Linked DNA regions of Rattus norvegicus. The protein of the gene in region 1 interacts with the protein of each later gene in a biochemical or structural test. Links are inferred from orthologs where the notes say so. Each region holds a gene or a part of one and is shown in the gene's direction. Other genes may lie near its edges. The genes, in order: Magi1, Adrb1 and Fchsd2.

Region 1 (3,744 bases):
TAAGGTCTTGAGTACTTGAGATGCCTGCGGAACTTCAGACTTTTCCTCTCAACCCACCTCACCTTTCTGAGCGGCTCCAACTAAGCTCCCTTTATCTAGTAGATTCTCAAGTCTGTGACCAAAGAGGAACTCATTGGAAACCACTGAAAAGTAAACGAAACCGCTAGGGCCACTGCTGCACTAGCCTCTTGGCGGTGGGGGCTGTTCTTTCTGTCCCAGCCTCTTCAGCGCTGATTACTGCACCCAGCCTCTGGGCGGCGAATTCCGAGGTGGCCGGCGCGCCCACACGTGTGCAGGACCCGCACCCTGCGGTGATCTTTACTCCCCAAAGCAGTCCTTAGGGTTCTCGGCTCTCCCAGAAGCTAAAAGGGGCTGGCCGCTGCCGCCCCTTTGCTGGAAGGACAATGAGAAGTCTTAGGTAGAAGACTCGCTCACCGACAGTTTTCTCCTTGTCCTAAAAAGTTGGCCCCAAAGTTTAACGGTGGGCGCGGAGAGAAATGCAGAGGGTGCGTGGGTCTTGCTGGTTCGGGTCCTCAGCGTCACACAGACAAGAGCCAGGCTCCGCCATGTGGACTTGAACCCCTGGGCCGGGAGCAGGCGCGGAAATGAGGCGGAAGGCAGTGGGGCCGCGAGAGAGATGGCGTGGCCACCGAGGGCGAGGAGGGAACCTGGCTGGCAGGCAAGAGTGTGAGCCCCCCGCCGAATTGGTCTCCCAGCCCCCACCTGTTTGAAAGGATTTGTTAAGCACCAAAGCCACATTTCCTGCGTTACGAGAGCTGGAGTGGGGCACGCGCACGTGTTCCCCAAAAGGCTCTGGCTGGGCCGACGGCACAGGAAAAGTAGGAATTCTAGGGGTGCAGATACAGGAGCAAGTTGGCGTCAATGGAAGGTCGGCCCTAGGACCCCGCGGGAGGCGCGTTGGAATCTCTCCCTTCCAGGAGGAGGGGTGGGGCGGGCCTGCCCGCGGGCGGCCGCCGAGCGCATGCGCGCGCGCCTCCTATCCAGCCGGCCGCCGCGCTCCGCCGCGCGGAGTAGAATGAACTGTAACAAAACAAGCAGAGCCTTTGTATCTGCTTAAAGGGGCCGCGGCCACTTCCCTCGCGTCCCCTCACCCCCGCCCCGCGCCGCCGCGTCTCCAGGGCTCCCGGCAACTAGCTTGGAAAGGGCTTCCCTCGCGCTGAGGAGCGGCCGGCGGGCGCGGAGCAGGCGCGGCGCGTGTGGAGAAAGCTGCGGAGCAGAGAGCGGGCCCGGGCGGCGTCGGAGTGGACTCTGGTCCCGGGAGCGCGATCGGCGCCGGAACGCGGACCCGGAGGCACCGGAATGCAAACAAAGCTCGCGGGCGCCTGTGCAGGGCTCTCAACGGAGCCCGGAAAGTTTGTTTTATGATGGCTTGAGAGCGCGAGAGAGTCGGGCGAGGAGGCTCGAGTAGCTCGCTCCCGCGCTCCGAGAGAGAGATGCTTCTCCCGTGAGCCCGCCGCTCCGGGGGCTCGTGCTGTGGGGGCACCTGTCTCTCGTTTTAGCAGTTTTCCTTTTTTTTTCTTTAATTTTAATTTTTCTTTTGAGGAGGGGCTGTAACTCATCATGTCGAAAGTGATCCAGAAGAAGAACCACTGGACTGGCCGCGTTCACGAATGCACCGTGAAGCGGGGACCCCAGGGCGAGCTGGGGGTGACGGTGCTGGGGGGCGCGGAGCATGGGGAGTTTCCGTACGTGGGGGCGGTGGCGGCGGCCGAGGCGGCGGGGCTTCCCGGCGGTGGCGAGGGACCGAAGCTGGCTGAAGGTGAGCTGCTGCTGGAGGTGCAGGGGGTCCGGGTGTCCGGCTTGCCCCGCTATGACGTGCTGGGAGTCATCGACAGCTGCAAGGAGGCCGTCACCTTCAAAGCCGTCAGACAAGGTAAGACGGGCGTGTCTTTGGGGGGGCGCACCCCGAAGAAGAGGGGAGGCCTGAGGGGGCGCCGTTTGCTCCGAGTGCTGTGAGCCAAAGTTGAGGCCCGGGCCAGATGAACTCAAAGTTGTGCGGTTGTGGGCTGCGCGCCCACCTGCGTGGCGGCCAGGGGCCGGGGTTGCGCCGGGAAGCGGGGAGATGCTTCCCAGGCCTGGTTTGCCAACTTCTTGTCGTAGCCACCTAGTGCTGCGCAGCTTCGTCTGCACCTTAAGGCAGATGGGTAACTGAGGCAAGCTAAGGTGGACGCTTTCCACAGCCCCTTATGGGATAGATGAGCTCACCGAGCTGGTGGCTTGCCATTGCTTGTGTTCCCTGAACTGGAGAGTGGGTCGTGGAAAGGGAGGGTCTATTTATGGTTGACTGGAATTCTTACTTCACAAAATTGCCTTCACCCTGCAAGCCCTCCAGGTGAGGTTGGGTTATGACCCCCTAGAGTCCTTAATCTAGCCGCCTGCAGAGCCTGCATTCACCCCACAGCGGGGTGACGTCTGTGTCTCCTCCTTGTGGAGACCTACGGTGGGGGAAGGGGTGTTTAGCTCTTGGCGCGAATCTAGTCCAAGTTTACCCAGCCGCCGCCTCCCCTTGCACTGTCGTCCTTATTGATGATGATTGTTGAGAGATTACAATTCATTGTTAGCGTGCTATATGAGAGGCTCTCTGTAAAGTGGTTTAATTGCATTATCTCATTGTGATTCACAACAATGCTATAAGATCGACTTGTTTTTGTAAGTCCTATATTACAAAAAGTAAGCCGGAGCTGACCTAGGTAAATGACTTGCCCAAGGTCACACAACTACTAAAGTGTATGGGTCTTTTCTGTTAAACCTTGAGCGAGGAGGAGGAGGGCTTGAGGGGATGACTTAAGGGGCCTGAGTTTTGGGGTGTGTGTGGGAGAAGCAAGGCCTCTCTTAGAAGTCTGTAGGGTAGGGATGGCTTTCTAAAAGACGCATTTGATGACTCCCTCGCAGTTTGGTCTGAGCAATGGTCTGCTCTCTGTCTGGCTACCGGAGCATAGCTGCAGTACTTAAAGGCATCCCTCCTGCACCCGAGTGCTGTGACGCAGGTTCTCCCAGATGAAAGCACCAGAGGAGGTGGCAGAGTTGAATGTGGTGAAAAGTTGCCATATGTTCCTGTCAGGATGGCAGCAGCTGAAGGAAACGTGTCAAAGGAAAGCCTGGGAGAGCCAGCTCTCTCCAGCAGCAGGCCTCTTCCAGATGACCTGAGGATGAGTGCAGTATTGTGTGTGGTTAGCCCAGTAGCCCGGACTTTCTACCGTGTTGGGAGCGCAGAGGCTGACACCTAACAGTGGAATGTCCTTATCTTGCTGCTTGGCCTTGTCTGATGACTATGTCCTTAGGAGTTTCTCCTAGGACCGTAACCCAGGAAGTGTGCACAGCAGTGCTGGTTCACAGTAAGTGCTCAGTAAAAGTGAGTTATGGTTGTATGTTGTATTAGAGTTGAATTTAAGCAGTTAGGAATTCAGTTTTTAGCTAGGAATTTAGTGCCAGTTCCCCGGGTGATAATGACTTGGTTAGGGCTGTTGAGAAAATACTGTGACAGGCATTTATTTATTGGGGGGTAACATTGGGTTTGAGTTCAGGCTCATTTTGCAGAAAGATTTCTCATCCAGCAGGATGTCTGGGTGGTGGTTAATGGGTCCTAAGATCTGTTGGCCATGGGCAAGAAGCTGCCAGAAGCTTAGCTCTTCCTTCCACTGTTTTGCAGAGATCCTTGATGCTGGCGCCTTCCCTTCTTCCCCCAACCCTCTGTCTCTCCTGTGAGCACTCGCCCTTCATTGG
Region 2 (3,744 bases), on another chromosome or scaffold:
TTGGCAAGGTGAGAGAGTACCAGCTTGGCCACATGTTGATGCTCCTCCCAGATGCTAATCTTTTTATTCCAAAGCAAGAGAGACTCCAGAGCATTACATAACATTATATAACACGACCGTGCACCCTTCCCTTCAGAGACAATTGGGAACTGTTTGCTTCTCAAGAACTTAATTGCAGATTTCCTTCTTATGGCCCGAGGTGGAGGCATTCCCAGGGGGCAGATCAGAGGACCACAGCCTGAGGTTCATCCTCAGCTTCCATCAGGAGTGAAGTCAAACACTCTAGTTTCAGATTCACTCGACAATGTGAAGGGGGAAATGCGGCGTGACTTTAAATGCTTTCCGATTTAATCGCCTCGCGTATTTATATATTTTCTTGCTTCCCAAAGCTCTTCCCAAAGCTGATCCCGCAATTTTGAGAATCTAGCCACCCTACCAAGAAGTCTGAAATCCCAGTTCATGACGTCAACCAAAAAGGGATAGTACCTTGTGTTGACTCAGCTCAGATTATAAAATCCCATGGGTACCAGAGTACAAACGCGGGTGTTAAGGTGTTGGTACTGGAGTCAAAAAGTCTGAAGCGTCATTCTCTGAGTTCTTTCTAGGCGGGGTGGGGGTTGGGGGTGGGGCGGTGTCATTTACTCCGGACTTAATGTTGCCCTAAACTTCTCCTTTATACTCAGAACTCATCGCATCCTTTTCCTTAGCTGGGATTGGGAACTGTGTGTGTCCAACTGGTCCTTGGCGTTGGCAGTTACAGCCACAAACCTTCCCTTCCTTTCCCCATCCACTGCACTTGAGGGAGAGAGAGCACAGCTCTGCGCAAGAACAGCGCCCAGAGAGCCTTTCTGACAGATGCGCACTCTGCTCCAGCAATCCGCCTGGCTGCAAAGTTTCCTCTAATAACTAACACCCACTTCCTATTCCCCAAGCTGTCATTCTGGCCGGGTCCCCTCGCGATCAGGGAAGAGCCAGGCTGCCTGATGGCAGAACCAGTCTCACAGCTAAATTCCCCAATCCCAGCAGATAGGCTGTCCAAGGCATCTCCGGAACGCCAGCAAGTTTCCCTTCTAGCTACCAGGAACCATGCACTAGAGGTAGAAAGGCGAGGGCGCTACGGGGCGCCGAAGGGAAACGGGCGCTCTTGCGGGAGCGGCAAAATGAGAGCTGGGTGCTAGGGCAAGCGGACACCACTTGGGCGGTGGGGGTGGGCACAGGAGGCGGCGGGGCACCGCAGAGGGCGCAGCAGACCAGACTCTGGAAGAAGCCTGAGCAGGAAAGGGCGCGCTCGCTGCAGCCCGTGGGTGCCGGCTGCGTAGTCCACCCGCAATCTTTGGAGCCTTTCAATCGCGGTAGGAGGGGGTGCTGGGTGTTGGGGGTGGGGACACCATTGTTCGGGGGCGTGCCTTGGCGACGATTGGCTGCGGGAGCCTGACGCGCGGCCCCGGGGGCTGGCTGGGGGGTAGGGAGCGAGGTGGGGGGGAGGTGCTGGGTGTTGGAGCCGCCGGCCCCGCGCGCTCAGAAACATGCTGAGGTCCCGGCGGCTCTTCCAGCAGCGACAGCGGCTCCAGCAGCAGCGGCGGCGGCGGCGGCGGCGACAGCGCTTGGCTACGGAGGAGAAGGCGCCCGGCGTCCATGCCTCCGGCCCCAAGCCGCGGCTGCCCTGACCTGGCCGCGACCTCCCCGCGCGGGCCCCGCAGCCCCGGCTCCTGGGGTGCTTCCCAGGCGCGGCCCAGTCCCGCCACACCCCCCGCCCCCGGCCTCCGAAGCTCGGCATGGGCGCGGGGGCGCTCGCCCTGGGCGCCTCCGAACCCTGCAACCTGTCGTCGGCCGCGCCGCTGCCCGACGGCGCGGCCACCGCGGCACGACTGCTGGTGCTCGCGTCGCCTCCCGCCTCGCTGCTGCCTCCAGCCAGCGAGGGCTCAGCGCCGCTGTCGCAGCAGTGGACCGCGGGTATGGGCCTACTCCTGGCGCTCATCGTGCTGCTCATCGTAGTGGGCAACGTGTTGGTGATCGTGGCCATCGCCAAGACCCCGCGGCTGCAGACGCTCACCAACCTCTTCATCATGTCCCTGGCCAGCGCCGATCTGGTCATGGGACTGCTGGTGGTGCCTTTCGGGGCCACCATTGTGGTGTGGGGCCGCTGGGAGTACGGCTCCTTCTTCTGTGAGCTCTGGACTTCGGTAGACGTGCTATGTGTGACGGCCAGCATCGAGACCCTGTGTGTCATCGCCCTGGACCGCTACCTCGCCATCACGTCGCCCTTTCGCTACCAGAGCCTGCTGACGCGCGCGCGAGCGCGGGCCCTCGTGTGCACAGTGTGGGCCATCTCCGCGCTGGTGTCCTTCCTGCCCATCCTCATGCACTGGTGGCGGGCCGAGAGCGACGAAGCGCGCCGCTGCTACAACGACCCCAAGTGCTGCGATTTCGTCACCAACCGGGCCTACGCCATCGCCTCGTCCGTCGTCTCCTTCTACGTGCCCCTGTGCATCATGGCCTTCGTGTACCTCCGGGTGTTCCGCGAGGCCCAGAAACAGGTGAAGAAGATCGACAGCTGCGAGCGCCGCTTCCTCAGCGGCCCGCCCCGGCCGCCCTCGCCCGCGCCCTCGCCATCACCAGGGCCACCGCGCCCCGCAGACTCGCTGGCCAACGGGCGCTCCAGCAAGCGGCGGCCGTCGCGCCTCGTGGCTCTGCGAGAGCAGAAGGCGCTCAAGACACTGGGCATCATCATGGGTGTGTTCACGCTCTGCTGGCTGCCCTTCTTCCTGGCCAACGTGGTGAAAGCTTTCCACCGCGACCTGGTGCCGGATCGCCTCTTCGTCTTCTTCAACTGGCTGGGCTACGCCAACTCGGCCTTCAACCCCATCATCTACTGCCGCAGCCCCGACTTCCGCAAGGCTTTCCAGCGCCTGCTTTGCTGCGCGCGCCGGGCCGCCTGCAGACGCCGCGCAGCCCACGGGGACCGGCCGCGCGCCTCGGGCTGCCTGGCGAGAGCTGGGCCGCCGCCGTCCCCCGGGGCTCCTTCGGACGACGACGACGATGACGCCGGGGCCACCCCACCCGCGCGCCTGTTGGAGCCCTGGGCCGGCTGCAACGGCGGGACGACCACTGTGGACAGCGATTCGAGCCTGGACGAGCCGGGACGCCAGGGCTTCTCCTCCGAGTCCAAGGTGTAGAGGGCCAGGCTCTCCGGGCGCACGGACGCCGCTCCCCATAGTCCCGGGCTGGACACGGGCTCTGCATCCCTAGAGGAAGAGAGCCCGCCTGGGCGCCCCTGAGCCGCTCCCCAGGGGAGAGAGGAGGTTTCTGTTTACTCAAGACCGAAAGCAGGTGAATGCGAAGCCCACAGATCTTTTGAATCATCCGAGACGTACAGAAAAGCCCGGGACCGAGCGTTGCGCAAAAAGGAAAGTTTGGGAGTAGTTGGGAGAGTGTGGCTTAGTGTGGCTTACTGGCTTGTCTTGAGTTCCTTTCTCTCTGAGGTTCGGCCTTTCGTGTGTTTAATGCACCTTTAGGCACCCCCCCCCCGTGGGTTTTGACACTTTCTGCAAGGACCCGAGTGGAAACTAGGAGGGGAGGGGAAGGGGGAGGGTGGAGTCTATCACCTGGCCTTCTGACTTCACACCTAGGAACCTAAGTGTTCAGCTCTGGTTTGGGGTGGGGGCAGGAGCGGTGATAATTAGCCAGGAAGTGTTTCCTTTTGCTTTCTAAAGAAATTGCATATTAATTCCGGAGTATTGGTGT
Region 3 (3,644 bases), on another chromosome or scaffold:
AGTAGCCAAGCTCTCCTCTTGAGGAGGCCACCTAGTAACTCTGCCTCCTTTGCTGCAGGTCTCTCCATCCCCCAAGCCTCACACATCCCTGCCTCCACTGCCTCTGTATGACCAGCCTCCCAGCAGCCCTTACCCCAGTCCAGATAAGAGGAGCTCCCAGTTCTTCCCCCGGTCTCCTTCAGCCAATGGTAAGAGTTCTGGGCAGCTGCCCCTCACCACTTACTTCTACACTGGCATCTTTACTATCCCATCATAACCTCTTGGATTCTCTCCCTCAGAAAACTGCCTTCATGCTGAGTCACCAGGATTCTCACAGGCCTCAAGACAGACTCCTGACACCTCGTATGGCAAGCTGCGGCCTGTAAGTCTCCCACCTTGAAGGGTTATGGATTACATAGTTCTTCCAAACTGAAAATGATTTATTTTGCCCACATGGTCCATTTTGCTATTGATCTGCCATGCAGTGCTTTGGGGAAGTATAAAGAACTGTAAGAAAGAAAAGCTATATTTTTGGTTGTGAGTCCAGCCTTTAATGGTTGAGCCATGGCTTCCCAGTACATATGCAGTAGAGGGCTGCCTTTTCTTGCCTCAAGATATGCCTAATCCTACAGAGACTTGATACACCAAGGTAAGGGTGTATGGGAGAGGCACCCTCTCAGAGATGAGGAAGATGGTGGAGGAACCCTGTGGCAAGTTACCAGGAGAAGGGGGCAGCATTCGGCATGTATATACATAAATTTTTTAAAGGAAAGAAAGAATGAAAGAAAACAAGAAAGAAAACAAAGGCTATAAAATGAGCTGATATGGTGGTGTATACCTTTAATCTCAGCATTCAGGAGGCAAAGGCAGGTGAATCTCTGAGTTCTAGGCTATATAGCAAATCCTAGGCCAGACCCTGCCACCGCCGTGGTCATCGTCATCGTCATCATCATCATCATCATAGGTGTTGGAGAGATGGCTTAGCAGTTAAGAGCACTTGCTGCTATTGTAGAGGGTCTGAGTTTGGTTTCCAGCACCAGCATACAGTGTGGCTCACAACTGTCTGCAACTCCAATTCCAGGAAGTCCGGAAGGCTCTCGTCTGCCCTTCTCGGGAGCCAGGGATGCACATTACATATGGTTGCATACAGACAAACGTACACATAAAGTAAAATCATTTTTTAAACTCAGTTCACATCCCAGTCACAGCCCCCACTCCTTCCTCTCTTCCTAGTCCCACCTTTACAAGTCTCTTTCCCATTGCCCCAAGAAGGGAAAAACCCCTCCCTTGGGTACTGCCTCACCCTAGGACATCTGGTCCCAGCAGAACTAGACATGTCCTCTCCTACTGAGGCCCAACTAGGCAATCCAGGTAATCAGAAGGGGATCCAATGGCAGGGAACAGAGACCAAGACTGCCACTTCTTAGGGGACCCACATTCAAACCAAGCTGCACATTTGCTATGAATGTGTAGGGGCTCTAGGTCCAGCTCCTGCATGCTCCTTGGTTGGTTTCCCAGACTCTGAGCCCCCATGGTCCCAGGTTAGTTGACTCTGAAGGTCTTCTTGTGGTGCCCTTGACCCCCTCTGGCTCACTTGTATCTCCCACTCTTCCACAAAACTCCCAAGCTCCACCTGATGTTTGGTTATGGATCTCCTCATCTGCCTCTATCTGATGTTGGATCAAGCCTCTCCAACAGTTAAGCATATACCTAAGCTAAGTTCCTGTTTGCAAGCATAGCAGCGTATTAATAACAGTATCGGGTTAGCTCTCTCATTGTGTGGGTCTCAAGTTGGGACAGTCATTGGCTGGCTGTTCCCTCAGTCTCTGCTCCATCTTTATCTCTGCACATCTTGTAAGCAAGACGGATTTTGAGTTGAAGGTTTTGTGGGTAGGTTGATGTCCTCTTTCCTCCTCTGAAAGACTTGCCTGAGTACAGGAGGTACCCACTTCAGTCTCAGTATCTCCCACTAATAGGATCTGAGCTAGAGTCAGCCCCATAGACTCCCTGTATCCTCTCCTGTCCCAGGCTTCCAGAGAGTCACCAGAGATAACCTCAGCTATTTCCATTCTCAATCCAGCCATCTCCCACCTCCTTCTCTTCCCGTACCTGATCACCATATCTGTTCCCCTCCTCTTCTACCCATTCCCTCTTCCCATCCACCTCTGATGACTATTTAGTTTCCCCTTTTGAGTAAGATTCATGCATCTTCCCTTGGGACCTCCTTACTACTCAGTTTCTTTGGGTCTGTGGATTGTAGCATGGTTATCCTGCATTTCATGGCTAATGTCCACTGATAACTGAGAACATACCACGCATGTCTTTCTGGCTCTGGGTTACCTCACTCAGGATGATATTCTCAGGTTCCATCCATTTGCCTGTAAAATTCATGATGTCTTTGTTTTTAATAGCTGAGTAACCTGTTATGTAGATATACCACAGTTCCTGTATCCATTCTTCAGTTGAGGGACATCTAGGCTGTTTCCAGTTTCTGACTATTACGAATAAAGCTGCTATGAACATAGGTGAACAAATGTCCCTGTGGTGTAGTGGGGCATCTTTTGGGTATATGCTTAGGAGTGGTATAGCTGGGTCTTGAGGTAGAACTATTTCCAGTTTTCTGAGAAACCACCAGTTTGATTTCCAGGGTGGTCATACAAGTTTGTACTCCCACCAGCAATAGAGGAGTGCTCCCCTTGCTCCACATCTTTGACAACATGTGCTGTCACTTGAGTTTTTGATCCTAGCCTTTCTAATAGGTGCAAGATGGAATCAATCTCATAGTCGTTTTGATTTGCATTTCCCTGATGACTAAGGATGCTGAACATTTAAGTGTTTCTCTGCCATATGAGATTTCCCTATTGAGAATTCTCTGTTTAGCTCTGTACCCCACTTTATAATTGGGTTGTTTGGTTTGTTGTCTAATTTCTGGAGTTCTTTATATATTTTGGATATTAGCCCTCTGTTGGGTATAGGGTTGGTGAAGATCTTTCCCTAATCTGTAGGTTGCCATTTTGTCTTACTGACAATGCCCTTGCCTTACAAAAGTTTTTCGGTTTCATGAGGTCCCTTTTATCAATTGCTAATGTTAGAGCCTAAGCCATTGATGTTCTGTTCAGGAAGTTGTCTCCTGTACCAATGTGTTCAAGGCTATTCCCCACTTTCTTTTCTGCTAGAGTTTATGTTTAGGTCTTCGATCCACTTGGACTTGTTTTCTCCATGGTATAAATATGGATCTATGTTCATTCTTCTACATGGAGACATCCAGTTAGATCAGCACCATTTGTGGAAGATGCTTTCTCTTTTCCATCTAAGGTTTTGCCTTTGTTCAAAAGTCAAGTGTCCATAGGTGTGTGGATTTGTTTCAGGGTCTCTGACTGGATTCCATTCATCAACCTGCCTGCTCTTATACTAATACCATGTAATTTTTATCACTATTGCTCTGTAGTATAGCTTGATGTCAGGGATGGTAATACTGCCAGAAGTTCTTTTCTTTCTCAGGATTGTTTTAACTATCCTGGGTGGGGTGTTGTTGTTGTTGTTGTTGTTGTTGTTTTTGTTGTTGTTGTTGTTGTTTTTCCATATGAAGTTGAGAATTGCTCCCTTAAGGTCTGTAAAGAATTACGTTGGAATTTTTGTGGGAATTGCATTTTATGGGAATCTGT

The links.
Region 2: the proteins of Magi1 (region 1) and Adrb1 interact in a test that uses a peptide from one of them, tested with the Homo sapiens proteins (2 studies listed by IntAct). The link is inferred for Rattus norvegicus from reciprocal best matches to the Homo sapiens genes MAGI1 and ADRB1.
Region 3: the proteins of Magi1 (region 1) and Fchsd2 form a complex in vitro, tested with the Homo sapiens proteins (2 studies listed by BioGRID and IntAct, with this or other methods). The link is inferred for Rattus norvegicus from reciprocal best matches to the Homo sapiens genes MAGI1 and FCHSD2.

What each region holds. Positions count from the first base shown.
Region 1 is NC_086022.1:128,365,472-128,369,215, reverse strand, and holds the start of Magi1 (membrane-associated guanylate kinase, WW and PDZ domain-containing protein 1), read left to right. Parts: upstream 1-989; 5' UTR 990-1,581; coding exon 1,582-1,894; intron 1,895-3,744. UniProt on the Homo sapiens protein: Plays a role in coupling actin fibers to cell junctions in endothelial cells, via its interaction with AMOTL2 and CDH5. May regulate acid-induced ASIC3 currents by modulating its expression at the cell surface.
Region 2 is NC_086019.1:265,775,583-265,779,326, forward strand, and holds the start of Adrb1 (beta-1 adrenergic receptor), read left to right. Parts: upstream 1-1,520; 5' UTR 1,521-1,775; coding exon 1,776-3,176; 3' UTR 3,177-3,744. UniProt on the Homo sapiens protein: Beta-adrenergic receptors mediate the catecholamine-induced activation of adenylate cyclase through the action of G proteins. This receptor binds epinephrine and norepinephrine with approximately equal affinity.
Region 3 is NC_086019.1:165,087,212-165,090,855, forward strand, and holds part of Fchsd2 (F-BAR and double SH3 domains protein 2), read left to right. Parts: intron 1-58; coding exon 59-188; intron 189-278; coding exon 279-361; intron 362-3,644. UniProt on the Homo sapiens protein: Adapter protein that plays a role in endocytosis via clathrin-coated pits. Contributes to the internalization of cell surface receptors, such as integrin ITGB1 and transferrin receptor.